Caenorhabditis elegans: one gene and its partners. The protein of the gene in region 1 interacts with the protein of each later gene in a pairwise test. Each region holds a gene or a part of one and is shown in the gene's direction. Other genes may lie near its edges. The genes, in order: tbx-9, blmp-1 and hlh-25.

Region 1 (10,441 bases):
CTCAATCAGGATCATTTTCCTGAATTTTGTGCTCCGACAGTATTGCGGTGAGCCGGCGGCTCCAAATTACATCATCACCAACCAGAGAGTTGTAAAGGGATCCGTCTGGCGCACTGTTGGGTGGAGGAGAAAGAGCGGTACGCGTTTTATGTTGTTAGGTAACTAGAATTGACAGGTGATCATTAGGTTATGGATAGGGAAGGACATTTTATGTACTTGACATGTTATAGTTTTTGGGAACTTTGGAGGGAGTTTTGGGTCAACATTTTAATAGCTTAAATTGCAAAAATTTAATAGCTTCAGAGATGTTTTACAGGATTTCAAATATGACAGATCATTTGTAAGAATTTTCAGTTTATTAAATGTTAAGTATTGACTTCAGGTAACCTTCTTATAGTCTACTTTCTGCATTTTGGAGCAAACTCCTCAGTTTGCCTACATACCTGCCTATCGCCTATAAGGGCAGGCAGGTTTTTAATCGCCCACCTGATATCCTTGGCTTTTTCAGAAATTTTATTCCACGAGCACCTCTGCTTAGGCTGCGACTCGGCAGCCTTGTCCGGATCGCCGATGTCGCGATGCAACCCGATTAGAAGAGGCATCCCGCTGTTGCGTTGATTGACTTCTCTCTTTATTTCTTCCGTTTGACGTGATCTTTTTAATACCACCGACATGGTTATCTCTAATAAATCTTGTAAGGCATGTTTTGATGTTCTTAGGCATGCTTAAGGGGGTTTGAAGGCAGTAGTCACGCGTGTAGGCACGAGGCAGGAGTAAGTCGGCTTGTAGGTGGCTGATAATTTTGAAATTGTTGCATGTCCTGCACAATAATGGCCTACGTTTTTCTGGTCTCTCTGAATATCCCACGCAACAATATACAGGCAACAATCAGACAAAAACCTTGATATTCAGAGTCATACGTATTTATATTATCTGGCGATTCTAGCAACTTTAAAAACCTGGGGTGTCGTTTCATGGCCGTAAAGTTATGTTTCTACACACAAAAATTGAAAAAAAAAGCATCTGGAAAATTATGATTTTAGTAAGTTTTTAAAACTGTAGAAGGTAGGTGGCTGGAATTTAAGAGTCTTGTAATTTCAAAGCCACCGAGAGAACTTTAACGGCCGCGGGGAAGGTGTGACACTCGTTTGGGGCAACTCCATGAAAAGGCGTTACGTGGACATAAAAGTGAAAAATTTTCCACTGCAAATCCGAGCTGAAGAGCTGTGTAATTTTTAGGCCACCTCGACGAAGAAGGTCTTCTTAACAACAAGAAAGGTACCTTATCCCAACATTCACCCCTTTGATAAAATCTCCGATGAGACAAGTCAATCAATCTGGGCACGGCTCTCGTGCAATGCCCAGTGATGCAATTCCCGACCGGACATATAAGAAGGAAAGGCCTATTTGTTGGTTTGGTGATTAAGATCTGCACAAGTGTTGAAGATGATGTGGTACTGTAGAGGAAGTGGTGATAAGTCTAACTGACATCGGGCCTCCTTTGATTTATTAGGGTCCCGTGGAGATTGGGCGAAAATCTGTCATATACGGCCGTGAAACTTGGCACCAGTTCAGAAAAATTTCTAGGCAAAGTTTTCTCTTCTGAGGAAATTAATCCATTCACTCTTCGTGGTGATCAGCGTATTTTCATTATGCAACCACATAAAACGCGCACCGCCCGTGGTGCGCCAGACGTACAGTTGCTCCAATTTACAGCGGCAGGAACACACACACGCGCGAGTCGGCTGATGACGTCATTTGGAGTAGGATCACTTTCAGAAGTTAGTCCACGCAATTTGAACGGAAGCTCTTTGTGCTCGCGGAGCAGTGGAGGTACATACGGACTTTTGGTGGAACCATTGTATCGCGGCGGCGGTGTCAAAAAGTTGCGAACTAATGAAATTTATAAAGTATTGTAAACATTTTTCTGTTAGTTGGCAATTTTTGATAACGTTACTAATTGTCAAGTTATGCCCGTGAGAACCCAATTGAGCAAGCAAATAATTTTCAAGGATGCTCTGATTTGAAGGATCATAACTTTCCTCGCAATAGTTTAATCTAAAAAGTGTCAACTAACAATATGTTAAAACATTTATGTACTTTATTTATTTTATAGTTGACAATTTTTGGGTAACACTTTCGGGTGGCAAAGCATAGGCTGTAAAACACAAAGTTGATTTCTTAAGACTTTTCTGCTTCAATGCCGCATAACTCAGCTCACAATAACTGAATCAAAAAGTTGTCAATTAACAAATAGTTAGAAACTTTATGAATTTTATGTTGTTAGTAGATGACAACTTTTTAATAACGTCATTTTTCGCAATGTTATTTCGTTTTTATCGCAACAACTTTTATTTGAAATTTTTTATTTCCACTCAAAATTTCTTTCTAGCAAGAAACAATTCTAGGTGAGAACACAGATACATATCTTACTTTCTTTGTTTGACATAGACACCAAAATAGCTGCACATGATATTTTCAGCAAAATTAGACAAAACAATGAATGTCAGCACTTTGTTCTCGCCGCCACGTGGCAGACACGCGTACAACGAGGAGTTCGCACCTGTGGAGGAGGATATACATTTAATTAATAGGTATGGAATTGAATTAATAAATTTAAAATTTTATTTTGTTAGGGAAGGAATGTGATTTTTAAATTTTTTGAACAAGTGTTTTAGTGTTTTTAAAAACATTTTAAAAGCAGGAAACCTCAATTTTTGTGTTCCTGGGAAAAAAAAATTCAGAACAACTAATCAGTGATTGTAAACCTTATCACCTGTATATCCATTGACGCCAACTAACAATTGTGGAGGTTATAAATCCGCCACGATGTTTATCGACCACCTGATTTAGAGGTACCCCCCGTAAAAACACCGACTCGGAGAGTTTTGGGAAGAGTAAAGTTTTACAGCTTTTTTTTTGGTGTTTTGGAGATCAGTCTTATTTTCTAGGAAAATGGGGCTAATGGGGTCGGAGAAATTTGGGTTCAGATAACAATTTGGGAAACGATTATCTCGAAAAGCTTCGAGTTTACCGAATAGTTGCCAACTGACAAAATATAGCTCTGGAAATTATGAACAATCAGTTAGTTGACAAATTTTTGATAGCTGCATCCACAAAAAAGTTAGACCCCGGAAAAAAATTGAGTTTTTTTTTGAAAGTTGACATCTTTTTGATAGCTTTTGGGAAGACGAATATATCAAAATTATCCTGACTTATAGACTTAAAAGGTTTGCTCAAAAATTGCTCAGAAATTTTAATGGATCTGCAAAATTTGGAGAGTTTTTCCTAATATTTTTGAGCAATGTTTTAGAACATTCGTTATGAAATTCGAATTTTTAATATCACTTTATGTCTAAAAATGCAAAATAATTTTGATCCGTTAACCAATGTTTTCTTTTATCCATTTTCCTTCAGCTACCAATTTTTACACCTCCAGTCAATACTGTCGGTGTTCTATCAAAAGAGCCCACTACAACTAACCGGCTCAAAAATTTTACAACGTATGCTCTTTTGGAGGTAACCGACAAAAAAGGGGTATACTTGGAAATGGTATATTATCTGGAAATAGAAGGAGGGTTTGAAGATGGAATAATGGGTAATTGTGGAAGGTATGAAAATGTAAAATGGTAAAATCTTTATTTTGAAACATTAAATAAAGTTATTTTTTTCAAATTTCGGTTTTTATATGGTACAAAAAAATTCAGTTTACATTAATTTTTACTGTCATTCTTTCTTGAGAAAAGTGATCTCAAAGTAAAAATATACAAAATCCATACTGTCGATAAGCATGGTATACATAGCATAATTCTTTAATTAATAAGGAAGTTGTATCATCTTTAAATTTTGAACATTTTTTGAAGTTTACATAAAACCAACATTTTCGGACCGTCTTCTCTATTTCTATGCCACATCAGAATTTGATCTCCCAATTTTGTTTTGAAAGTATACCCAACTCTTTTGATCTACCAGTCAGCCGCCAAGTCTTCCCAGAATCGATAGCCGAGAGGGCCACGCGCACAACCTGCCCGCCCTTGCAGAGGGGTGTGGTTTGGCAATGAGGTGAGATGGGGTGAAGATGTGCACAATTTCTCACTTCTTTGTCTTAAATCACCATTTTTTTGTGATGACATCTCTATCTTATCGTGTTTCTTATTTTTCTATTTTTTTGTTTTCTTATTTTTGAACGGCGGGGATATCTCAGACGTTATCTCAAAACTGGCAAGAGATACCAAATAGTTGTCAACTAACAAAATATTGCAAATTTTATCATTGTTGCTTTGTTAGTTAACAACTTTTTGCTAGATACCACCGTTTTTAAGTTAGAATAGTTTTCCCGCTCCTCCTTCTCACTGGTACCACACTCTAAGCAAGTGTAGCTGCCAAACCGGTGAGAATATAACATTATATCTTATACCATTTTCCAACTTTTTTTTTGCTGTTCGTTTTCATAATATATTTTAACGTTTTCAGACAAAAAATGTCCAAAGTCAAAGTATCAATCGAAGGATCCCAAGAAACTCTCTGGAAGATATTCCACGCAGAAGTCAACGAGATGATTGTCACGAAGAACGGCCGAAAGTTGTTCCCAAAGTTGGAATATATAGTCGAAGGGCTTGATGAAAACAAGCTGTATGCAATAATGCTCCAATTACAACCAGTTGGAGAAAGTCGATTCAAGTTCAGCGGTGGAAAGTGGCAGGAAACGGGCAAAGCTGAGAAGCAGGTCGACGCGAAGAAGATGTGGCATGCTGATGGAGTTCGGAAGGGAAGGTGAGTGTGACATAGGAATTGGAAGATTAGAAGCTATGAAGATTTGTAAACTGACATGATTATCAAAATAGTGAGAACCATTTTGTCAATTGGCAACTTTTTTTAGCTCCGCCCTGGTATTACAACTTCAAAGCGCCATATCTCAGCGGGCTTGGAAGTTTTAAAAAAGATGTTAACTGGAAAATTGTTAACTGATTTATCATCTACAATTTGCCAGTTGACAACTTTTTTCTAGCTTGAGCCATTGAAGAGTTAGAGCTGCCGACACTGGCATTCAAATGCCTTTGGAATATTTTGAGGGTTACATCTCATCTAACATTAAAGTTTTCAAAGTTTGTCGTTTGTCAACTGACAACATAATTCAGATGAAAATAATTCTAAATTTGCTAAATTTATATCTTCAAAGTAACCCCAATTAATTTCAGTGACTGGATGTGGAGTTCGATTTGCTTTGATCGTGTGAAAATCTCCAACTATTCAGAGTCCAACAACGCTTCAATGGTAGGATTTCAACTTTAAAATTACTTGGCAATTTCCAATTTAAAATTGAAATTTCAGATTTACCTCAACAGCATGCACAAGTACATTCCAGTGCTGACAATCTACGAGTCTCCATCGGAGAGCCCTTTCTGCGTCCCACAATCCTCAAACCAAATCGTCGCCACCGCCAAATTCCCTCATACCGAGTTTATTGCAGTAACGGCTTACCAGGTTAGTATTGAGAGTAAGAGTATTAGCGCATGGATCTTATCTCGGAAGAATCAATATTTTGTGAACAATGGGAAATCTGGGAAGGAAGGGGGAAGTCTTGTCAACCATCATACTTATCAAGAAGTCGTTAACTAATAATTTGTAACCCTAGTTGTAAAGATTAATTAGTTAGTTGACAAGTTTTTAATAGAGTTAAAAGAAGGAGAGTTACACTTGCTCAAAATTTGGCTCTATTTATAAATTTGAAACTGCGCTACTTTAAGCACTCCTACCTCGCCAATAAAAAGAGCTATATAAAAGTTGTCAACTACAAAAATATTGCTCGCTTTGTGATCCATAATATGGTGTTTAACAATTTCTTAATAGATTCTTTGTTTTCAAAGATAGAGAGAGTTGAATAATAAACCTAATTTTTCCTCATTTCAGAACCAAAAAATCACCGACTTGAAAATCAAGCACAACAGTTTTGCCAAAGGTTTCCGTGACGGGAACTTGAGTCGCAAGAGAAGATCACCATCATATTCCGACGGCAGCAACTCACAGTCCCCATCGCCAAAATCCAGATCACCACCGGAGGTCGCACCTCTTCAGTCGATGCCTCCAATCAACCCATTTCTTTTTTATTTTCCCCATATGTTATCTGAAAATCTTCCAGTCCAATTTCCATTCGCTTTTCCATTTCTCTCGCCTCTCCCGTCGACTCCTTCCAGCTCGAGCAGTGAGCTGAGCATTGTGAAGGAGGAGGATCAGGAGGTAGAAGAAGATATTGATATTGTTGGTTGATAATTTTTATGCAAACTGGTCGCTTTTGATATCATGTAATCAAAATTTTTAATATATAAATATATAAAGCTTTATATTTTCAAAGAAACGACTTTTTGAAGACCCGCCGATTAAATTAGAAGTTTGTCGACTGAAAAAGGCAGCCTAGACTGCTAGCCAACAATTTTTATACCTACAATACTTAAAAATGTATTGTTTAAAGGAACACGTAGTTTTCTGAGTGGGTCTTGCCACGATCACAGTCATAGTGGTCGCTGCAGAACCCACATTTTTAGATTTGCTTATTTGATGTTGAAATGGAAAATTTTCAAGACATTACGAGAACACACAATTCTGAGGATGCGTATTGCGCAACATATTTGACGCGCAAAATATCTCGTAGCGAAAACTACAGTAATTCTTTAGAAGACTACTGTAGTCAAGGGTTCGACTTTTTGAATTGATGTTCAATTGATGTTCAATATTTTCCTCCTTTTCTTCTAGTCTGATTCATTTCAAAAATCGAGCTCGTAAATCGACACAAGCGCTACAGTAGTCTTTTGAAGAATTACTGTAGTTTTCGCTACGAGATATTTTGCGGTCAAATATGTTGCGCATTCTCATTAATTTTGTGTTTCCGTAATATTTCGTGCTTTGACTTCGTTTATTGTGATATCCACAAAGATATACTTGGCAAAATTGTCAACATAATCACGCAACTTTTCTTACAGTTCAAGGTTAAAATTTCAAGGTTTTCCAATAGTTTATTGTTGAATTAAAAGAGATAGAAAGTCCTTCCCTTCCAAACAAGCAAACAAACAAAAAAAACATTTTCTTAGCACTTCTCCTTGTCTTTAGCGGAAAGAATATCAAGAGTGACGTATGTCATATCATAGGTTCCACCGATCTTCTCCTTTGGAATCAAATACTCTGAAACACGCTTGCATCCGGCCTTCTTCACGTTGCAGTTGTGGGTGATTATGAGGTATGGAGAGATTGAGGTGATCTCGTCGTCGGATCCGGTAAGTGAGAACTCTCCTTCTTTGTTCGATTGCATTGAGGCGAGCTTGTCATCGGGGTCGACTGGAAAATTGAATACTAATAGTACGTTTGATAGCTTGTAGGTGTTGCAGAGAATTTTAAGGGTTTTTTATATGTCCTAGGAATATATTGGCAGCCTAAAGCTAGATGAGGTTTTTGGTTTTTTTTTTCTAAGCCACACATCAAAAGTCAATATTATAATTGCAAATTATGGATTCAGTTAGTTGTCAATAGCAGAAAAATACCAGCTTATTAGAGTTTCAAATAATTGACACGGTACAGGAAAAAATTGCCAGAAATCAGTGGTCGTGCTTTCTCTTTTCGCGGCCACGTGGAACAAAATGATCGAAAAGCGGAATAGACAGAAATTTGCCATATGGCATTCAAGTTGAATATCAAATTTCACATTTCGAATGATTTTTTTTTAATTTTTAGAATTTCCTGAATTTTCGTTTCAAGCTTGAAATTCGCCATAATTGTGGTTTTTTGAACATATATGCAATTTTCTTGATTTCTGCATCAAAATGACGATACCCGGTCTCGACACGACAAGTTTGTGTGAAATATGGAAATGTGTGCGCCTTAAAAGAGTACTGTAATTTCAAACTATTGTTGCTGCGATATTTTTATCGGTGTTCTTCATTTTGTTTTTCGCGATTCGGTAAAATTAAATTTTTGAATAAATAAATACATTTTTCTTATAAAAAAACGCTACGAAAAATCGATGAAAAGTCCGCAACAACAGAAGTTTCAAACTACAGCACTCTTTAAAGGCGCACATCTTTTTGAATTTAACAAAAATGTTTCGTGTCGAGACCAGGTATCGTATTTTAAGCTCAAAAATCGCAAAATTTCGTGTAAAGAACGTTTGGGGATGAATATGAAAATTTCAAATACAAATTATTGAGAAATCTCGTGTAAAGCTGTGCAATTCGGCTTTCTTTTGAAAACAGGTGGAAAACTTCAATTTTTAGGCCTTTTTAGTCCTTTTTAAGCCGTTTCAAGCTAAACAAGACTGAAAACTCACGAGTATCTTTCTCCCAAAGGGTAACCTCCGCCTGAATTCTCTTCTTATTACAAATAGTTGTACCCTTGACAGTGATAGTCTGCTTCTTTGCCTCAACAAAAGCCAAAGCCAAAAGAACAACAGAGGTGAATAGTAAAGCACGCATTGTTGTTTTTTGAATCGTGCACTAACGTTTTTTGTTTTATATACCGACAAAATTCAAGGGAATCAAAATGGGCGGAGCCTATCTGATGGTGAAACAGCGATAAGGCGGGGGGATCGTTTACACTAAACAAAAACATTTTTGTTTCGAAAAATTCAAGGCCATCGAATTGACCGTCGTCTCGAGACAGAAGAGGCGAGAAAGATGAATCATTATATTAAAAAATGATATTTTCCTACTAAACTTTTTTGGATGACGTGATGGCGAAAATGAAAACCGGATTCTCTTGCGCACGCCTATTATCAAAATTGCAGTTTCGTTCCGAAAAAAGGGTTGAATAAAAGAACCGTTTTTTTTGTTGTTGTAGAGAGAAAACAATTTGAAAAAAATAAATACAAAGTCGCGTACGCGTACAGGAATTTGGGGGGAGTTGGAAGAGGCCACACGAAAAGAGACAGTTAAAGTGAAGATGAATTATTGAGATACAGGGGTACTTTGGAAATGTGGAAGAGAAGCGGGAGGCTAGGCCACGGCGAGAAAAGTTAGGGTTTCAGGGTTTTTGACGAAATGTACAGAACACGGAAAAGTTGATATTACGCGGAAGTAGGGTTTGGCCAAAAAAAAAGGCAATCGGAAAAAATTGCAGTAAAATCGTAAATCGACACAGAGAGCCGTAATTTGTGGCCTAGCTTTCCCACTTCTTCCAGTTCAAAGGATGAGAGAATCAGTGAGCAAAAATGAGATTCAAATGTAAGGAGTTGTACATAAATTAATTATTTACACAAATTGAATACGTTACTTCAAGCTGAACATCATCCGCCCACACACGACGACTCCAACGATTCCAATGGCTCCAGCTGTTACTCCAGCGCCAATCATCGACCACCGTCTGTTCTGCTTCCGGCGTCCCACTTTTTCAGCTTCTGCTCGTTCGTAGTCCTCTTTCATTTGTTTTCCGAGTGTCATGAAGTCGTCCTGCAATTTTTTTCTTGATTTTTTATTTTCACAAATAATGCTTTAGAGCATATTCCGGGGAACACAAAAATCCGTGAATGCGTATTTCACAACATATTTGAGGCGGAAATATCTCGTAGCGAAAACTACAGTAATTCTTTAAATGCCTACTGTAGTCGATTTACGGGCTCGATTTTTGAAATTAATTTCTTTTGATTAGTGGTTATTTTCTTTAATTGTAAAAATTTTAAAAATTTAAAGAATTACTGTAGTTTTCTCTACTGGATATTTTGCGCGTCAAATATGTTGTGAAATACGCATTCTGCGAATTTTGTATTCCCGTAACAATAACATTATCATAAACAGTAATATACTTGAATATGTTTCCAGCTGTCCCCCCAAGAGGCTACCGAACCCTGTAATTATCGGCTTACCAACACCCCGGGAAGTCAAGGGTACTAGGGAAAGGGGGATATTGACTTCTAATGTCTATGCAAATACTCCTTACCCAGCTCCGATTGTGTTCCTTCCAGTTGTTGCGGATCCGCGTTTTGATGAACAGCGATGTGTAAACGAAGAGGTTTCGCACTTGTCCCTGCAGTTCCACGGATTCCATCATTTTTGCAGCTACGAAACCGCCGAACGAGATTAGACCTATCTGAAAATTAGAAATTTGCAATTTAATTCGTTCATTTCTGGCGGAAAATTAAGCTTAAAAAAACGATTTTTCTGGTTTTTAATGTTCGAAAATTGAATTTTTGGGGTTTTTCGTTCAGCAAATCAGCAGAAAAACCTGTTTTTCGAAGAAAAAAGTTCAAAAATCGAATTTTAATGTATTTTCCACAAATTTTACATTTAAAAACCGATTTTTGATAAATCAGCAGATCTTTTTCGCAAATACAAATCAAGGAAAATATGCTTTAAAAATATTCGAATAGAAAATAACGTTTTTAATCGAATTCGTAAAGTTTTCTGCTAATTTATCAACAAAAAAAATTACAATCCGGGATCAAAATTCGTGGTTTTTTAAT
Region 2 (10,441 bases), on another chromosome or scaffold:
ACTCTCATACTCTCTTTCTCGTCGTCCAATTCTTCTGAAGGCCATCTCCTCCTCCTCTTTCAACCGATTACCTCTTTCTCTTCTTCACCTCCAATATCGAAAATCTTTCCCTTTTTCTTGGATCTCTCTTTGATTTTTCCTTTTCCTTTCTCGAATCCTTTCTCCTATTTTCCCGATGTTTAGATGCCGTTTAATCAGATCCGAATGAATTTTTATTTTTCGATTTTCATAGTGATAGTGAAATGCGGGAGTGAGTAAGAGAGACTTTCTTTTTAAGACTGGATCTTCTTGTTTCATGGGAATTCCATCACTTTTCATCGCACTTTTTTTTATCACTTTTATCACTTTATCTCGACACGCTCAGATTTTCTGCCATCAAATAGAGTTTTTTTTTAATTTTTGGAAAAGAAGGTTACAAATACTCAATAAAAAGAAAAAGAAGATACAGACGGTTTGTGACGTTCCAATCTGTAAACTAAACTGTCTGTTGCCATTAATTTGTACTCGCAAACGTTACACTTTTCTTTCTGAATTCTTTTTCTTAAATGTCACACTCCTATTGGGATTCTTAGTGTTTTTTGGCTTTTGTGATAAATAGGCACAGGCGTCTGTTTCTGCCTTAGCCTGCCTAGATTATAATTTTGGTGTACTTCACCAGTTGTAGGTACGAGGCAGGTATAGGTGGAACTCTGACTTTTCCCAATGAATTTATTTATTGCTATAAAAACCACTATTTTGTTTTGCAATAATTAGAAATGAAAAAAAACAGTAATTTCAATTCTCGAAATATGAGCAAAGTTTTGTCAATTTCTGTTTTGTGGTTATTTTTTGTGCCCTTATTTTCAACATTCTCGAAATTAAAAATTATTGAAAATTTCAATTTATAACCCATTGAAGCCATTAACAAATTATTTGAAAAGTCTTATGCAAAGCTTCAAGGCATGCCTGTCTACCTACAAGATCATCGACGTCTGCGTTCGTTCGCCTCTTCAGTTTCCCTTCTCTCACCCTTTCAGCTGTCGAGGTGAAGCCTGAAATTCATCTGGATCTCACAGGATTTTTTTGCAAAAAAAATTGATAGCTGTAAAATTGCGGTGAGACGACCTTCTCTCTCCAATTTCCTCCTCCTCCTCCAATGATTCTCGTATTCGCTTTTCGGGCGATTTCACCTTCGTACCAGTCGGTACAGGTCGGTGCGCGCGCTCCACCTCTCTCTCTCTCTCATATACCGATTTCTTTTCCGCAGTTTTCCATTGCGATTCTTTTACCACCCATGAGAAGAAGAAGAAGACGTAGTAGTTGTTGTAGAAGATCTTCGAGAGAGAAAAGACATTGTACAACAACTTGACCCCCAAAAATTGTGTTGAACAGCAGCAGCCAGTGCCCTAAAGAAAGAAGGTGAAGGAAAGAAAAGGAAAATAAAAACGAAATGAAGATGAGATTCTCAGGATGATGAGGGCAGGAAGAAGAAGGTGTTATAATAATTATTGAATGAGGGAGAGAGACCTGTCAATTTGAAGAAATTTAATGAGAATTTCCTTGACACAGGCAGCAATAATTGATTGAATTTGGGATTGTTTGTTCAAGGATTTGAGAAATTTCAGAAATACGTTCCATTTAGTCTCGGTGATGCCTATTAACTAAATATCTGTCTTCACGGCGACCCACCCATGCCTACTGCCAAACTATGTGCACTTTTATTCCAATAATTAATTAATGAGTGAATTCACATTGTCCAAACAACGAAATCCGGAGTTAAGAATTAAAATAAGCGGTAGGCAGGCGCGCAAGCAAGTAGACATCAGGTAGTTATGCACTCCAGGTGACGTGGAAAAGTTATGGAACTTAAAGTTAGGATATCTGAGACATTTTTTTTTCTTGCCTGACATTGGTTGGTTTTATCACCGATCTATAGTATTGGAGCACGACGGTGACACCTTACATCTTACAAGCATCGTTTCAGAGTAACAAAATTTAAGACATCCTGCCAAAACATTTTCGATCTAATCCATAAATTGACAGCACTTTTTGCTCCTAGAACCTTAGAAAAATTCACGACTTTCGTGGTAATTTATTATGCCGTCACAATTCTAAAGATTCCTTTCTGGTCAGCTACAAATTATGACATCAACCAAAAACTCTGAAACTGGTATTATCATTCACCTGACGAATGTCTTTGAAGTTCCGAATTGCATCCCTTTTACCAGATTCTGGATCGAGTTAAGTACAGTATCTAGAAATCTAATTCAAGTAAACCCTGCCATTTCCACCACGCAAAGCTGTTTTGTTTTGAATGTTCAGTTTCTAAAACCGTACACATTTCCCTTCTCTCTGCTTCAGGCCTTTCAATTTCCCTAATAGCCATTCGAATGCCAAAAGAAACCAAAAGCTTTTGCCCCCTCTCCGACGGCGCGTTCCCTTCTTTTCTCCTTCTTCCAACAAACATTGGCTAAAAGAGACGATCCTCTCCTCGAATCACTTTGGCGGATCTCTACAGGCCCGATATGCAAGAACAGGTTCAAGGGGAAGAAGAAGCCTCTCTGTGTCGTCGTCGTCGTCGTCCAGCAGCGTCCATTATGCAAGAGAGTGCGCGAACAAATGGGGGGAAACCGGTCCCTTTCTCTGATTCTCTGATCCTCTCTTCAATCAGTGATCTCTCTTTGCTGTGTACAGCCATACCTCACACTCTTCGGAAGAGAAGAAGACCACCGTCGAATCCGAATCCATGGATGAATGGTCGTTGCGCGCGCGCGAGCGACAATTCTCGGGCGGCGTCATGACTGACCGTGACTCTGCATCTCTGAAATTTCAATACTATTTATTATCCTTTTCTACCGTAATCCATTCTCTCACTCTCTTTGCTTCCAATTCGTCCCATCCAACAGTAGTAGCAGCAGCTATTTTCTCGCTTTTCCCCCTTTTGTACAAACTCTTATTATTCATCTCCTCCTTTTTATGAACGATCTTCCTTTACAATTTTTTTAGTACATTTCAAATTTGATTTCATATTTGCCAAGCTACCGTATTCTTTTCCCAAATCCCCACATTTTTTTGTTTGAAAGTTGTCGGCTCCTTTTCTGAATTCTGAATCACACGTGTTTCAAATGAAAAAGACAAACAGATCTGACCCCGCCTCGCTCTTTTTCTTCTAAACTTTTAACTTTTTTTTCTCACCCGTCACTTTTTTTGAAAGTTGCCAATTTAGGTTTTTTATACAAGCTCTGGAATTTGTGCCCGCGGTGATGGGAATTTTCGAGGTTTATGAACAAAAATTATGTGAACAAGCTTGAATTTTTCTGAAATATTAAAACAATCTTCAAATGAACTTGTTTGGTTTTCAGTTCTCCGGCACATATTCCTGAGCAACTCCCGTAGGCTTGAAATTAAAAAATTAAGTTTTTTCAAACTTAGCCAATTGTTTTAGTTTTTATTGTTTAATACGAATTATTGGGAGTATCTAAAGCAATTTGATGCAAAATCCCCACAAGTCATAGTCCGTCTTTAAGGGTATTCCCTATATTAGTATTAAATCGGACTGCTCACCTTTTCAGCTAATATCTTGGTTTTTTGTTTAGATATCCGAAATTGCACAACTGCAGAAATATTGAAAATTAGTCCGCAAATGTTTTTATAGTTGACAGTTTTTTGATACAACTAAAGAGAACCGAGATATAAGCCGCGAAAGTTGAGCAACGAGGTTACTTGTTGGATCGACAATATGCATACCGTATTCCCTTGACATCTTAAAAAAGTTTCAATTCAGAAGCTCAACTCTGAAATTAACTTGGAATTGAAAAAAATTGAGCTATTGAACTACTGCCTCTTCAGATTTTTCTTGAGACGTTGACGCCTGACTTATGCCTGTCTACCTCTTATATTCTGTAATTTAGGTTTTCGTTCAGTTCTTGTTGACTTTTTCAGTAGGCAGTATTGAAGATAGGTAGGCAGGCGCACATCCCGGACGCCTTAATAAGTTCCTCCTTTAAAAAAAACATTAATCTATTATTGCACAACCTCCCATCATCTAACCCACCTACCGTAATCACCAACTTTCCCTTTTTGCTCTTCTTAACTCTGCACTCTCCTCGGTCACCCAGCTATTTCACCCCAATTCTTCGAGTTCTTCCTTATCAAGGTCTTTTTGACAATTTCGGCGCCGTTTTCCTGATTCTCGCCCTCGCCTTTTCCCTCTCCGTGCTCTATTACTCTCTCGCTCTTGTTTTGAAACTTTTATTTGAATTGGTTCACTTTTAATTTGTCTTTCTTTTTGCCAAAAATTATTTTTATTTTACCAGAATCATGTTTTCAATTTCAGAAAATAAATCTCTCTTCTCTTTTCCTTCGATCTCATTTTAAACAAAACCTGTAAAAAATGGGTCAAGGAAGTGGGGATGACGGTGTTCCGCCGGCACCGTTCTCTTCGGCTGCTGCGGCAGCTCACTCACCACCTCATTCTCCCCTTTCTGTCGGCGTTTCTTCTGCTTCATCTGCCACGTCATCATCTTCCACACCGCCATCATCCACGTCACCTGCCGGAGTTTCAGCGTCAGGTAAGTTGTGATAGGATACTGTAACTCGGCCCCCTTGGCAGCCATCCGTGATCTACATTTGCGAAGAAATCGAATCAGCCAAATTCGTTTTTCTTCCCTCCACTTCTTTTTTTTCCTTTTCGGATTTCTTATCAAATTTCAATGCCGCCAAGCTTATCATCGCCGCGCTATCACTTATCATCAAAATGTTCTTTTCCCTCTTGAACTAGACGTGGACACCATATAAAAAAGAACAAATGAAAGTGAAAACAAAAAAAACAATCACTTCAAAATTTAAACCGAAAGAAAAAACTGTGAAGCTGTCATTTTATACAATGAACATTTTAATTTCAGGTGCGAGAAACGTTGAAACTGATTGGAAGCAGTCGGGAGATGAGAATCTTGCCGAATTATGTATATTTCATGTTCCAGACAAATCTGTTAGTTTGGTGAGTTCGTATTTTATAGTCTATAAAGTTTTAAAAACCGAGCCTGCCTGCCTACATGTATATTTCTCTAAAAAAATGGTTTTGGAACAAAAAGTTCTCTAGAAATTTGGAAAGTTCAAAACGTTCCATAGAAAGTTTGAGATGTGCACTAAAAAGTTGCTTTTTTGCCGACCGTTTTTTTGCCAGGACTACAAAAATAGTATGAGAAAGTTAATATACATCGAAAAAAACCATTTCAATTTTAATTCCATTTATTTTCAGCCAAATCCAAAGCGAGCAGAATGCACACTTCCTATGAACCTAATTCTCAAGTCCTCCTCAAAAAATCGAAAGAAATCGTCAATATGGTCATCTGATCATATTCCGAGAGGAGTCCGATTTGGCCCGCTCGTTGGAGAAATTCGTTTGGTAGATGTTGACACAGCACTTGTATGTCCTGCTGAAGCATCAATGGCTGGAGGTGGTCCAGCTCAAGAAGATGTTCCATTTGATGAAGCTCCGGAAGAGTGGAAGATCTATTCTCCATCAGGTGGCAGATTGAATAAAACGATTTGTGTGAAAGATGATGCGAGATCAAATTGGATGAAATACGTGGCAGCTGCTGAAGAGGAAGATTTTCAGAATCTTGTTGCTGCACAAATTGGAAATGATATCTACTTTTACACAGTTAAAAAGATTGAAGCAAATACTGAATTATCATTTTGGTTCAGCAGGGACTACGCAAGGAAATTAAATTATTCAACAAGACCATACGTAAGAGTTCGAAGGCCAGCTACTCAACTGATTCCATCTGCACCACCAGCTTCTGCATCAACTGCAATTGCGAGTTTAGCAGAAACAATTGTGGCAATTGATTATTCAGTTAAAAAACTCATTGAATCACCCATTGATACACTCTCTACTGATGCTTCTTCTGCAAGTGACGAAGAAATGATTGATGTTGAAGAGCAGGAGAGCTGTACACGGCCTGTTGCAGAAGTCACACGGCCTAATGTTATCCAGAATCCAGTTGTGAGGCCTGTTGCAACCAAAGTCAATAATTTCCCGGGAATACCCGTTCGACTTGGCAATTTTTATGCAAGTCCGTTGGTGGATTTTAAAGAGTTCATGAGGAAATCCCTTCAATTAAGTGAGTTTATTAATCCCACTCTGAATCTCTGATAAGCTGAAATTGAAAATTTTGAAAATGTAACACTTTTTTTTGAAGTTTTTTTCACTGGAGATGCAAAAAGTTGCTTAACATTTTGTTAACAAAACTTATCAGAAACAGCTAAAAACGCCATATGTCCTTGATGGGGATTAAGCTTCTGTCGACAAACAAGATACATTTGTATACTTTTTTTTTGTTTTTAACACATCAACTTAAGTTTAACAATATTTTCAGTTTGTTAAAATTGTTTCCTCAATCAATTAAATTATCAAATTGTTTATGCTTTACTATACTTTTTAATTAGTGATCTACCTGTTTTCGGATTTTCGGCAGCTTTTATCCCGTGCGGATGTGGTTTTATCAACGGAAAAGTTTTCAAAATACATGTTGTATGTTTATTCATAATTTTATAGCTTACTGTTAACTGCTAAGTTAAAAACAAACTGGGGCGTCCTAAAAAGTCCTGAAAACAATTGAACCCTATTTCAGAACTAGTTGATACCTCAATGTTTGTGTCCCCTGTTGCTCAAACAACAGCCGCAATAACTGCCACTGGTGGAAGATCCGGCCAGCCGATTGATGTGCAGCCAGTACTTGCAGCAACTGCAGGAGCTCATTTTGGAAACTATGCAGCAATTTATGGGAGTCAAGATTTCCAGCATGAGCTATCAAAACCTCTGTACACATCTGCGTCTCCAGCATTCGGAGGTGGTGGTGGTATGGGTGGAGGATTTGGAATGGGTGGAAGTGCCCATACTTCTTCATTTCATCAACTTCCATTTGTTAATCATTCGTCTTCATCACACAATGATTCATCATTTAATGGAGTTCCAAATGTAAGTTTTACCAAAGAAGATTTTTAATTTGTTGAACTTGATGGTTGATGGGAAAATATTTTGAAACATTCTTTTTAAAAAACAGTTGATATTTAAATGTTTAATACTAGATTTTTTAATTTTTTTAAATTATATATTTTTTATAATTTTTGACCCTGCCTCTATTTATCTCTACCTTTTATCTCTACCTTTTCTATGTTGATCCCAATAAAATTAGCAAAGTTTTGATACATAAATCAATTGATTACCGGGTGCTTTTTTGTAAATCTTTTTCAAATCAGGGCGCAAGGAGGGCGATTCACACGCCTAGACCTGGTAAAATGTCTAGTTATTCCTTTTCATATTTTCTACATGAAAATAAATTTAAATTAAAATTTTTCAGTACGTGCAACAACAGGAAAATGGAAAAACGAGATACGCTTGCAAAGACTGCAACAAAACATTCGGACAGCTTTCGAATCTTAAAGTTCATGTCAGGTTAGAACTTTTCTTATTTTCCAATTATTTTTTTACTTTCAACATTTCAGAACGCACACCGGCGAACGTCCATTCAAATGTGAAATTTGCACAAAAGAGTTCACACAGCTTGCTCATCTTCAGAAGCATCATCTTGTTCATACCGGAGAACGTCCTCATCGCTGTGATATTTGTGATAAGCGATTCTCGTCGACTTCTAATTTAAAAACTCATCTTCGACTTCACAATGGTCAGAAGCCGTATACGTGTGATGTTTGTGATGCCAAGTTCACTCAATACGTTCATCTAAGACTTCATAAACGTCTGCATGCAAACGAAAGACCGTATAGTTGTGGAACATGTGGAAAGAAATATATTTCACCGAGTGGATTGAGAACTCATTGGAAAACAACTACATGTAAAGAAGAGGATATGAAAGACTCGATGAGGGATGATTTAATGGATATCAAAGGCGAAATCGATGAAGGATCAATGTCAGGGTCGGGTTATGGAAATCTGGGAATCTTTGAAAATACACTGGTAAGTAATGAAGATTATATCGAGTTATACATGTTCCGCCGTTTTTTACAAAATGGAAACTAAGTTTTAAAAAGTTGATCAAATTTTTAATACTGTCCAAGTTTAAGTCGACAACGTTTCCTCTAATAGTATTGACCCACTTTTCCTAACTTTGTAAGTTCATATCTTAGTTGCCTATGGTTTTATCGAAAAATTTCTAACTGAGAAAATATTGAATTTGTGAAACATTTGGAAAAATATCTTTAGTGGACCGAGATATGAGATGTCAAAGTAGAGTAAGTGGGCGCAAGACTAATAGAAGAAATACGGTCGTGAATAAATTTTTTTGCTCGAGTTTTAGTTTTCGAGCTTTAGAAGAAATCAAGTAAATTACTAACAACAGCTTTGCTTCTGCTTACATTTTCACTGCTTTCAGAACTCCGAACTCAAGCGGCCACTTATGCCAATCGAAACCATTTATAGTGTAAGCTTTTATATTCGGCTTCATCATGCATACAAATAAATATTTCTTATCTCACTTTCCCATTCTCATCCTACAATTTTCAGAAATACAATCTTCCCAACGCCTCCCTCCTCGGTCAAGGTCCAAGTGGAATGCAAGAACAACAGGCTCCACCACCAACATCTCAACAGCAGCAACACATGATGTATGGAAACACAATGGGACATATGGGACAAGGATCCCATCTTCAGGGGCCACCACCACCTCCACAACATTTCCAAATGGATCATAGTGGAATGCAGAATGGAGGAGGTATTCCACATCAACATCAACTTATTCAAGGAGGTCCATCATCTGGATCTGGTCAACAGCAACATCCACAACATAATGGGATTCATAGGCTTCCTGATTTGAAAAATCCCCTACTTCCAAGCCTCGGATTGCCGCATTATCCATAATTATCATATTTATAACTTTATGAAAACACTACCCGTCTCCCACAATCCAGTCATATCATTTGTACTTGAGCTTCTGTGTAGGAATTAATGCCTCCACTGCGTGCCTCACAGCACTGCCTATTTTGGTAGAATAACGCAAATTTCATCTGAAAAAAGTTAATGTGAGAATGTAGATATAGAAAGATGTTTGTTAAGTTCGAAAATTCATTTTATTTCTATATCCGGATATTTTTCTATATTTTAACATTAATTTTTTATTGAAAAAATAATTTAACCAAAATTAGCAGTTTTTGGAGTGCCTGTAGGCAGGCGTGTAGGCATTTTATACCTACACAAGAGCCCCTGCTTGCTTCTCCAGCATCTTAGCATTTTCATTTTTTACTATGCTACTCAAATATTTTCAGATCCCTTTTACCAGTTTGTTTATAAGCCAGGTAGAAAACAATTAGATCAATTTTTTTCGCAAAATCTCAAATTGTTCTTACACCTTCCTGCCCCTTTCTCCATCCTCCCATTCCAGAACGAGTCTCTCATAATATTAATTGTATTCAAAAACTTCAAATTCAAATAATTCCACAAAGAACCTGAGTTAAAGTTCAAATAGTTCGTTTCTCAAAATTATCAGATTTAATATAATTATTTTTTTGAAATCTTCCATATACACCGCCTAAACCTATATTATCTTTTCATTCTCTCATTGTCTCTTGCTTTATCAGTCCCCTTTCATTCTTATCACTGTCAAAATTTTCTATTTTTTATTCAACAATTTCCATCAAAATCTTCCGGCATTTCAACACACCTATCTGTGATCATACTTTCATTATATTTTTGCAATTTCTTTCTAGAAGTTGTTTCTATTTTCTAACTTTTTCAAAACAATATCTTGTCTAATTTTGTATGTATATATATAAACTTTGAAAACTTGATAGGATTACATACATACTAATTTTCTCGAAAATTTCCGGCAAATCGGCAAACCGGTGAGGTGCCAAATTTGCCGGAAAAACGGCAAATCGGTAAGTTGCCACAATTGAAATTTCCGGCAAATCGGCAAACCGGCAAAGTGCCGAATTTGTCGAAATTGAAAATTTCCAGCAAATCGGCAAATCGGTAAGTTGCCAGAATTGAAATTTCCGGCAAATCGGCAAATTGACGGAATTGAAATTTCCCGATTTGCCGTAATTGAAAATTTCCGGCAAATCGGCAAACCGGCAACTTGCCGGAATTGAAATTTCCCGATTTGCCGTAATTGAAAATTTCCGGCAAATCGGCAAACCGGCAACTTGCCGGAATTGAAATTTCCCGATTTGCCGGAATTGAAACTTCCGGCAAATCGGCAAACCGACAGCTTGCCGGAATTGAAATTTCCCGATTTGCCGAAATTGAAATTTCCGGCAAATCGGCAAACCGGCAAAGTGCCGAATTTGTCGAAATTGAAAATTTCCAGCAAATCGGCAAATCGGCAAGTTGCCAGAATTGAAATTTCCGGCAAATCGGTAAATTGACGGAATTGAAATTTCCAGCAAATCGGCAAATCGGCAAATTGCCAGAATTGAAATTTCCGGCAAATCGGCAAATTGA
Region 3 (10,441 bases), on another chromosome or scaffold:
GTGTATTTGAACTTTGATCCAATTTTATGCATCCATTTTTAGCTTTCTAGCTCCATGACACTGAAGCAAGTTAGATGTGTCCTTTTAGATAAACACTGAGAAAAGATTATCTGACTCCGCCTTAACCTTTCAGTGTGTTCTTGGACTCGTGAAAAAAATTTGTATAAAAGAGCAGAAGAGTGCTGAAATTACAAATTTCAACTGGAAAATATGAATCTTTTTCTCCTCGTCTGCATCGCCTTCGCCATTATTACTGTAACTAGTTTTACCCCCGATGAAAAATCTCAAAGGAGGAGAACTTGATCGAGCTCTATAAGCCCCTCCATCAAAAGACACGTGGATCCCGCCATGTTTTTTCATACAAAAAACATTGCGGAAGAAGAATCGTTTCTTTAGTGCAAGCGTGTGGAGATCCAGCCCCAGGCATGTTCTGTAGTTTAAAAATAAAATTTGAAGTTCTTTGGAGTAAAGAAGATAGGATCTCCGCGTTTTTGATACCAATTTTATTTTAGTTTTTAGTACGCCTGAAGTTTTTACTTTCAGACGACAGAATTGATCACGATCTCTCCATCGACTGCTGCACCCAGAATTGCTCATCGGAGTTTGTGAAAAAGATAATGTGCCCCAGCAAGCTATAGTTTTTTTATTAATTTTTTTGTAATTTTCCTTTTGATTTCCCCCAAACTTCAACATTTGTCAAAATTGTTTGCAAAATAATCGTGTCAATGCAGCTGTTCAACAGTTTAATCGTCTTTAATAAAATTATCTATTTTTCAATTTTCGTGCACCGAATTCTTCACAGAAAAAGGGCCAATCTTCCTACTTTTTCCGAAAGCTCACAGAGGAAGTTAACATTAAAAAAAAGAATTTCAGAAAAAAGAAATCACAAATTAATGAACAACTAATAGTTTCTAGTAGTTCAGGTATGAATTTGGAATTTGTTTCCAATTGTGGTTTCAAACAAGCAGTTTAATTAAATTATCTGTTCTTTCGCATTTTTATTATTATTATTGATTGAAAAATTATCTTCGAAATGTTTATTTTTTGGTACTAAAATAATTGTTCAAATAAAAAGCCTTCTTTTCGACACATGCTATCCCGTAACGATCATTTGTTCAAATATGGCATCCAGTACCTGTAAATTAAAAAATATGGAAAATAACTAGTTATCATGAAGTCATACCTTTGTCTCCATGTAATCCTTGGTGACTGAAAATTGGTCTGAGTTTCAACATCGCGAGTTGTGTTGTTCAACTTTTTTGCGACAACGTTGCACAATGCTCTAATGCAATTTTGGAATTTGATTACACAGGGATGCTGAATATTTAACAATTAATTTTTTTACAAATATAAATACTGATTAGCTCATGCAACCCATTCCAGGTGCCTTCACGGCAGCCAATGCATACTTTGTAAAAATGAAATGTATAAATATTCTAATGCAAAAACCAAGTCACTCTAGAGAAAAAAAACGTGCAAGAAAAACATAAAACAAACGAACCGTTCGATATTCGTCCGGAATTGTAGATATTTCCTTCTCATAACGGTCAAAGCAACCAACAATATTCTCCAGTTCCGCCTGTAACATTTGAAAGTTGAAAAACGTTTTGCAGCTTACCGCTTACCGTGCAAAAGCTAGTATTTGCGAAAACCCTTTGACATTCTTCGAACAAATCATTAGAAACTGATTTCAGTTTTTGCAGTGCTGTATACGTCTTTTCCTGAACAAGATTTCAGAATCAAATGTAAAAAAAATCAAATAATTACCTTCTCCATTTCCGTTTCAGAAATAGTCACCATAGTCAAGATTTGTGATTGGTTCTGCGAAAAATCAGATAAGGAAGAGATACACTTTTAATAATAGTTTTTATGAGAAATTTAGTCCTGTAAAATTATAAATACAATGTTTCACTCACCTCTGCAACTGCCTTTCGCTCGACCTTCAGCCGCTTTTTGCGTCCCATTGTTGTTGGTCGAGCTCTCTTGAAAAACTAATTTTTCTTATTAAATGGTTTTTATATTTTCAATTCAAAGAAATTGAACACGTGTTCCAAGTGTTTATTTTTAATAGTTGTGCTGACATTTTTTGAATTTTCTTTCACAGTTTCTTTATTTTTCAGGGTTCGTAAACCAAGTTGCCGGTTGCCGAACTTTTTTCGGCACTTTGGCAACTGTCCATATCAACGTCAAACATTTTGTAACTCAAAAAAAAACATGCAGAGAGCCTGAAAAAGCTAGAATTTCACTGTAAACGAAAAAAACGACCATACATTTTTCCAAAACGCTCAAAAATTTAATTTCGACAAAAAAAACTTTGAAACCTGGTTGCCGAAAAGTTTCCGAAGTTCCGGCAACCGGAAGTTGCTGGCTGCCGAAGTTTTCAGCGTTCGGCAACTTTGGCAATTGCCGGTTGCCGAAATTTCTTTAAATCTCGGTTGCCGCACAGTCCTGGTAAGAACGCAATTCAGTTCTATAATTTTTCTCCAATTGCTACGCATCTGTTCAAATTATCATGCACACTGTGCTGAAAATCTCAATATTGCTGTGTGTTAAACTTGAATTTATTATCTTGATGTTACTTTTTTAAATTTATTAATTTTCAATGAATCGGGATGCAAAAGATGTCTAAATAATGTTGAAAACTGTTGAAAAAAATTGGAGACCAATACGATTTTCAGCTGAATCTCTTCAGCCAACAATATCGATATCTTTCTCATTTTCTTCTATTTCCAGAGCGTCAATTTCGAAGCTGGAACTTGGGACAATAGGAATCTGAACTGTAGGCATGTGAGGAGGATAAAGTGAAAATTGATTGTATGAATTGAAAACTAATGGCGAATAAACTGGGAATACTGGGAGAAAAGGAAGTATTGGAAATGGTAGGCAAGGTACTGTACATGTGATCGACTTTCCACGAATCACTTCAAAGATGATTTCTAGAACCTTCAAATTCTCCATTTTGTCTCTGAAAAATACGTGTTTTTTAATTTATGGCCAATAAAATCTAAAACCTACATTTCTTCTGAGCTACTCAAATTATTCAATGCAATAAATTTTCTGAGCTCTCTGTACGCGGCAACTCTCTTATTTCGGCGAACTTGTTCCCGATCGCTTTTAATCTTTTTAATACTTCTAATTGGTCCAGGCGATGTTGAAAACGATTCGTGATGAAGTTGAATACCAGATAACAATTTCACAATACGAAATAGAACCTCTTCTTTTCTGAATAGACATTAGTTGAGAGTACGTTTTTTTTTTTTAAATAAAATAGTAGAAAACTTACGAAAGTTTTTCAGATTCCGATTTTTGAACGATTTTCTTGAATTCATTCAACAGATCATTAGTATCATCTCTTCTTTGTTTTTCTGTTTCAGATCGATGTCCATGTGAAGAAGGGGACCCAGATGATGACGAAGTTGGAGAGGAAGACATTATGAGTCAAGGATCTGAAATATAATAATAATAGTTAACAAAAGATTATTAGACAAAAACCGTAATAGGGAGACTACAAAATATGAAAGGCAGTTCAAATTAAAGACTTATGAAAACGTTGAAAAGAACCAACCTTACAGTTCAAGTATGCAAAAACATAATGACTACCTTCCATTATATGTTCGAGTTTTTTCTTCAATAGGCGGGGATTCTCATCGTTTGGAATATCATGGGAATCTGATATCCATACCTTTATTACGCGTGGTTCTCATGGTGCATCGAGTACCACATCTCCAGTTCTTGCCGTGGCAGCCTGAGAACCCAAGCAATGCGAAGGGTCACAACCTGAACGAAGTTATTGATTGGTGGGAAAAAATAATCCTGAAATGAATATTTGGTAAAATCGGAGCTCGATGGAATTTAAAAATGTAAATATATAATACAAAAGAAGAATTTAGAATATTTAAAATAAAAATGCATATTAATTAACTCAAATAATCAAATACATGAATTAGGTTATAGTATTTTTCCTTTACATGATAGTTTAAAATATTTATATCAAGCTGTTCTAGAAATGTTTTAAAAAACAATATCCAAGTTTAAAAAAATCTCAATTTATTTTTAATTTACGAGGTTTCCATCTCAGCGTGTGACACTTTTCTTATAACTTGGCACCTACATGTATCCGGTGTGAATTTTTTCTGTTGCTGTGTGAGCATTTCCAGCAAACCGGAGTTCTCAAAATCAGTAAGGTTATATGTTAAAATTAAACTGGCTTATTATTTTCAGAAAATGAAAAACTGCCATATTTGAGTGATAAACTGAATGAATCCGTAAAATTTGGTAGTTGTATGTTCTATGCATTATCATATACATCAATCTGGTAATTTTTATTAGAATCAGATCTTGAATATTGGAAACTTTGCGAATTAAAGACAAATAATGATTAGGCAAGCTGATTAAATGAGTGATAAAAATGGTTAATGTCAATTCACAGTCTCCGCCGAAATTTCCCAGGCTGTACCCAATCAATATCCAGTCGTGGCAAAACTGGAGATGTCCTGACTCGTTCTCATGAGAACCTCACTGATGAACCATGGGAACCCGTGATGGGGACTGTAAAAATAGAGATTTCAGAATAATTCCCATGGCTCCAAACGCTTGATACAAAGCTCCACCCTCTGAACAATAATGGAACTATAAAAGGTAACCATTTATTCATTGTTCATTTACTTTCTTAGTGGATCACTGGTCTGCTGGTTTAGTATACTTTTTGATAATTGTAACATCAGGAAAGTGTACTGATTTTGATCAATTACTTTTAAAGCATTCAGTGAACTGTATACTTCTAGAAAAACAGTACGAGTTATCTCACTAAACTAAATCAATTTGTGCTGCTTTCTTGGTCCCATTTATCTGTTTTGTCACAATTATTCCTTTTTAACGGCTCATCTTGAATTTTTATAAATTCTACATTTCTTATTGATTTTAAATTAATGAAAATTATTAAATTTCAGATGCCAAAAGTTATTCAGTCTTCAATGAGCGATTATCGTTCCGTCCCATACAATCAAACTCCAAAATCAGCTTCTGAACGGAAAAGAAGAAATATTACAAACGAGTTGATTAACGAATGCAAGACGATTGTTCAAAAATCAGAAGAAGAACATATATCGTAAGTTTAAATACTCTGTTAGCTTAAAATAGTTATTAAACTAATTCATTTTTTAGACAAGAAGTAGTTCTCTTCCGAATTGTGAAACTTGTGACTGGAGTTAATCTGGAATCTAATTTCTCATCGAATGACCTCTCCGAATCTACAAGACGGAAGTTTGATACTGAATCCGAAAGAAGAAAAGTGAAGACTGAACGTGAAAAGATTCGAAGAAAGAAACAAGATGACTGTTATGCTGAATTGAAATTCTTCATTTTGAACAAACAAATGGGAAGTTACGAGCAACGGTAAGAGTTTCATTATGGCTAATAAAAATTCAAAAAATTATTTTCAGATTAAAACTTGAACGGATCACAATTCTAGAAATCATCATTGATTACATTAAACACAATTCCGATCTTCTGTATCCAGAAACAATTCCCCAAATACTTCCTCTTTTAGCTGGAAAATCAACTGCTACTTGTGAGAACAAAGAGAATGAAAAGCCAAAAACACGAATGGAAGTGAAGGATCTCTTCCCAAGATTGACGTTTCAAGAAGTTCAAGAATCCCCAACATCTACTTCTCCATTGCTCACATTTCCATGTATTCCAATGATCCCAACTACTCAGTTCAATGTCTTGTCAAACTACAACACCGTTCCATCAATATTTTCTGCTCCCCTCCGATTCATTCTTCCATCACTTCAAATCTTAACACCAGAAACTAGTGACGAGGAAGAAAATGAAGAAACCCTCGATATAATTAACTAGTCTATCGATCTCCTGCAAATTTACAATTTCTGAAAAAAAACTTATTATACTCTATTCTAAGGCTGTCAAAACTTTCCTGGTTTTCTTTCATTATATTTTTCACATCCCCGTAATCTCAAATTATGCCACATTCACAATATCAACTTGTCATTGTTTCATTATGTCACCAAACTTTTTGAATGTTTATCTAATGCCAATATATTGAAAATGTATTATACTTATGATAAGCCAAATTCTAATAAATTGAAATTTTGTTTTCACATTTCAACATTAATTTGTTCATTCTTGCCACATACCAAACCTATTGACCTACACCTGAGTATTGTATTAGAGAATATTCAATGGTGCGCTCTTCAGAAAATTCAAAAAATTTAAACTTACGTCAAAGTTTTGTGGGATGTCCCATTCTGGAAAAAAAACACATAGGGAAAATTGAAAAAGTGGCGATAAACTTTTCCATACGGGGAAGTTCTAAAATTAAAGCTTTTCGATGTTTTCTTAAATGAAGCCGGTCAGCAGATTGTCGACATCATCCGGAAACATCCGATATTCAGTGAAGCTGGGACAGGATGTCATTTTTGAGGTTTTTTGAAAAATTAATAATCTTCCCTACTAAATCATTTGAAAATTTAATTTTTTCGGAAATTGCAATCATTTTAAAAATTAGTTTCTAAATTTCCCAAAAAAAGATAAATAAATAAAACCGAAAAAACTTTGATTTTCGCTGCGAGACCCGTAGATGGACAACAAATTATTTTGCCATTTTATGGGCGTGGCTTTCCCCTTTTTATAGAAAATTTTGGTTGAGAATGTAAAGGGGATGTGTTTTTTTGAAAATGTTCAAAAACAAATCTTTAGTTCTAACTTTAAATTGCGTAACTTTTTGTATTTAGAGCTCGGAAAAAATAATTAGAATGTCTCTATAATTTGCTAGTTGACAACTATGTAATTTTCTGAAAAAGTTGACAAAAATTGTTTGTTTGAATTTTTTTTTTTCATTTTTCACAATTTTATAGAATTCTCTTGTTTTTGAGTGTAATTTTTGAATACAAAATTGAAAAAAAATCTAAAAATGTTCTGTAGAAAGTTGAATTAACTTAAAGTTCAAGGAACCGAGTGGGCGTGGCCAAACGAGACTCCAAATTCCGCTGGGCAGTTTGTAGTGGGAGTTCAGTTTTAAACTATTTTTTCGAGCTTTTTAATTTGAAATTTTGATTTTTTTGGAAATTGCAATCATTTTAACAAAAATTAGTTTCATAATTTCCCAAAAAAAAAAGATAAATAAAAAACACCGAATAAACTTTGATTTTCGCTGCGAGACCCGTAGATGGACAAACAATTATTTGGCCATGTTATGGGCGTGAGTTTCCCCTTTTTATAGGAAATTTTGGTTGAGAATGTAAAGGGGATATTAGAATTGTGTTAATTTATATTATATATATATATATATATATCAGAATAAAAACAATTTGAAATAATTTTGAATCAACAGTCCGGATTTTTGAAAATCTCCTTTTCTAGTTTATGAAGTTAATTTTATTGCAGAAAAAAACAAGAAAAACTTTTTTTGAACGTGGACTTCAAAGATGTGATAACGTTGTGTTTAAAAAAGTTCGTCAACGACAAGATCAATATTTTCCGAAAATCCATAAATAATTTATTTTCAAATCTATTCTCGTCACGAGATGACGGAGGCTCCCGTTATTCAGCTAAGTATTGACTATAGAGTTCGTCGTTACAAGGTTTTCAAGAAACTTGAAGATGGTGAATTCGGAGCAGTGTATGCTGTGCGAGATGATGCTGGAGAGGAGCATGTTTTGAAGGCTCAGTTGAATACCAAGGAGATATATGTGAGTTAATACTGTCGAACCATTAAGCAGAAAATGTTATTTTTAGTCGCTGAGAATTGAGCTTTGTGTGATGACAAAGGTATCTGAGAAGTCGCCCAGCCACATGCCTACTCTCATTGGTATGTAGTACACTTTTGTAGGTAACCGTAACCCCATCTTTCAGACAAGGGACGCCATGACAACTTTAACTATATTGTCATGAAGCTTCTTGGGAAATCCCTGCAAGATGCTATAAAGACTGGGCCTGATGGTCATTTGACATTTGGGCTCTGCGATTGGGGCATCGTTTCAATGCTTGGAAGCATTGGAAGATTTGCATTGGAGTGGGTTCTTGGACAGAGATGTGAACCCTGGCAACTTCTATCTCGGAAGAGCAAGCCAAGGCGAGCTTCGCAACATTTTTGTTCTTAGATTCGGATGTTGCCGAAAGTATGTAGATCGCGAAAATTTGATGCTCGAGCCAAGAAAAACTGTGCCATTTCGTGGAAGCCCTCGATATGCACCGCTTGCATCACATAATACGGCGGAACATGGACTGAAGGACGATTTGGAAAGCTGGCTAGTTTAATCAATTTAAGAACTAGTCATTTATGTGATATATTCTGTAAAGATGCCAGAAGGCCAGATTGGGTTATCACTTAGAATTGAAAATAAGAATAATAGTTTTTATTTGAGAAAATGTGTTTTTCTAGGTTCTACATGCTCGTCGATTTCACCAATGCAGCTCTTCCCTGGAAAAATGTAAATGAGATTGGCGAGATTGGTGCGATGAAGAAGAATTCCCGCTTCCAACCGATCATGGGCCAATTCCTTGCTGGCTGCCCAGATGAATTTCGCTTGATTATGAAGTGAGTCTCTACCAAAGCTGATTTATTCGTAATTTTCCATTTCCAGCTATATCGACAGTCTTTCGTTCTTCAAGGAGCCCGATTATGAGATGATCTATACAACACTGCAAAAAGTGATGCTAGACAAGGACATTGAAGAGTTTCCGTATGACTGGGAGATGGAATTTGGTGTGGACTAATGGAACTTTGATTATACATACTTGTCTTGCTTGTATTCTGGCTAACAAATTTTACCGAATAAACATTCATTTTCAAACAGAATAATTTAGACAAGACTATCACGTGAGTAGTAAAAAATCTTCAAAAATAGATTGCGACGCGATGGGATGAAAAAGTTCGGGAATATTGGCCATAGAAAGATAAAAAAATGAATCAAAAACGCAATATAGACAATGAAGATTTTCGAAAAATTGCTCAGAAACTAATTGTAAGATCTGGAAGAACTTGATAGACTAGTTACTAATATCGACGGTTTCTTCATTTTCTTCCTCGTCACTAGTTTCTGGTGTTAAGATTTGAAGTGATGGAAGAATGAATCGGAGGGGAGCAGAAAATATTGATGGAACGGTGTTGTAGTTTGACAAGACATTGAACTGAGTAGTTGGGATCATTGGAATACATGGAAATGTGAGCAATGGAGAAGTAGATGTTGGGGATTCTTGAACTTCTTGAAACGTCAATCTTGGGAAGAGATCCTTCACTTCCATTCGTGTTTTTGGCTTTTCATTCTCTTTGTTCTCACAAGTAGCAGTTGATTTTCCAGCTAAAAGAGGAAGTATTTGGGGAATTGTTTCTGGATACAGAAGATCGGAATTGTGTTTAATGTAATCAATGATGATTTCTAGAATTGTGATCCGTTCAAGTTTTAATCTGAAAATAATTTTTTGAATTTTTATTAGCCATAATGAAACTCTTACCGTTGCTCGTAACTTCCCATTTGTTTGTTCAAAATGAAGAATTTCAATTCAGCATAACAGTCATCTTGTTTCTTTCTTCGAATCTTTTCACGTTCAGTCTTCACTTTTCTTCTTTCGGATTCAGTATCAAACTTCCGTCTTGTAGATTCGGAGAGGTCATTCGATGAGAAATTAGATTCCAGATTAACTCCAGTCACAAGTTTCACAATTCGGAAGAGAACTACTTCTTGTCTAAAAAATGAATTAGTTTAATAACTATTTTAAGCTAACAGAGTATTTAAACTTACGATATATGTTCTTCTTCTGATTTTTGAACAATCGTCTTGCATTCGTTAATCAACTCGTTTGTAATATTTCTTCTTTTCCGTTCAGATCCTGATTTTGGAGTTTGATTGTATGGGACGGAACGATAATCGCTCATTGAAGATGGGATAACTTTTGGCATCTGAAATTTGATAAGTTTTAATCTTTTTAAAATCAAGAAGAAATCTAGAATTTATAAAATTTCAAGATGAGCCGTTAAATAAAAGGAATAATTGTGACAAAACAGAAAAATGAGACCAAGAAAGCAGCACAAATTGATTTAGTTTAGTGAGATAACTCGTGCTGTTTTTCTAGAAGTATACAGTTCACTGAATGCTTTAAAAGTAATTGATCAAAATCAGTACACTTTCCTGATGTTACAATTATCAAAAAGTATACTAAACCAGCAGACCAGTGATCCACCAAGAAAGTAAATGAACAATGAATAAATGGTTACCTTTTATAGTTCCATTATTGTTCAGAGGGTGGAGCTTTGTATCAAGCGTTTGGAGCCATGGGAATTATTCTGAAATCTCTATTTTTACAGTCCCCATCATGGGTTCCCATGGTTCATCAGTGAGGTTCTCATGAGAACGAGGCTGGACATCTCCAGTTTTGTCTTGGGACCATGCGAAACTAGACGACTGGATATCGATTGGGTACT

Evidence for each region.
Region 2: the proteins of tbx-9 (region 1) and blmp-1 interact in a two-hybrid assay, tested with the Caenorhabditis elegans proteins (one large-scale study listed by BioGRID).
Region 3: the proteins of tbx-9 (region 1) and hlh-25 interact in a two-hybrid assay, tested with the Caenorhabditis elegans proteins (one large-scale study listed by BioGRID).

The regions. Positions count from the first base shown.
Region 1 is NC_003281.10:10,335,891-10,346,331, reverse strand, and holds tbx-9 (T-box transcription factor tbx-9), read left to right. Parts: upstream 1-4,473; 5' UTR 4,474-4,480; coding exon 4,481-4,773; intron 4,774-5,198; coding exon 5,199-5,274; intron 5,275-5,331; coding exon 5,332-5,484; intron 5,485-5,910; coding exon 5,911-6,267; 3' UTR 6,268-6,326; downstream 6,327-10,441. Other genes in the region: ttr-15 (Transthyretin-like protein 15), read right to left, coding at 7,082-7,329, 8,315-8,459; Apoptosis regulator ced-9, read right to left, coding at 9,252-9,431, 9,919-10,068. UniProt on the Caenorhabditis elegans protein: Transcription factor. Involved in the control of early morphogenesis of the intestine, hypodermis and body-wall muscle. Involved in regulating expression of vab-7. Appears to have partially redundant function to tbx-8.
Region 2 is NC_003279.8:10,404,987-10,415,427, forward strand, and holds blmp-1 (B lymphocyte-induced maturation protein 1 homolog), read left to right. Parts: upstream 1-4,315; 5' UTR 4,316-4,372; coding exon 4,373-4,550; intron 4,551-4,883; coding exon 4,884-4,978; intron 4,979-5,239; coding exon 5,240-6,107; intron 6,108-6,617; coding exon 6,618-6,964; intron 6,965-7,346; coding exon 7,347-7,441; intron 7,442-7,491; coding exon 7,492-7,960; intron 7,961-8,375; coding exon 8,376-8,423; intron 8,424-8,506; coding exon 8,507-8,860; 3' UTR 8,861-9,787; downstream 9,788-10,441. UniProt on the Caenorhabditis elegans protein: Transcription factor which binds to enhancer elements in the promoter region of genes. Regulates the expression of the transcription factor bed-3 to control vulval development.
Region 3 is NC_003280.10:5,530,291-5,540,731, forward strand, and holds hlh-25 (Helix-loop-helix protein 25), read left to right. Parts: upstream 1-4,948; 5' UTR 4,949-4,949; coding exon 4,950-5,107; intron 5,108-5,163; coding exon 5,164-5,394; intron 5,395-5,441; coding exon 5,442-5,859; 3' UTR 5,860-6,115; downstream 6,116-10,441. Other genes in the region: C17C3.9 (Coiled-coil domain-containing protein), read right to left, coding at 1,108-1,135, 1,184-1,317, 1,502-1,579, 1,626-1,721, 1,768-1,821, 1,917-1,964; hlh-26 (Helix-loop-helix protein 26), read right to left, coding at 2,689-2,965, 3,016-3,222, 3,284-3,432; C17C3.11 (Protein kinase domain-containing protein), read left to right, coding at 7,545-7,709, 7,756-7,828, 7,873-8,120; hlh-27 (BHLH domain-containing protein), read right to left, coding at 9,010-9,427, 9,475-9,705, 9,762-9,919. UniProt on the Caenorhabditis elegans protein: Probable transcription factor. Modulates lifespan and also recovery from the developmentally arrested larval state known as dauer, perhaps acting upstream of phosphatase PTEN/daf-18.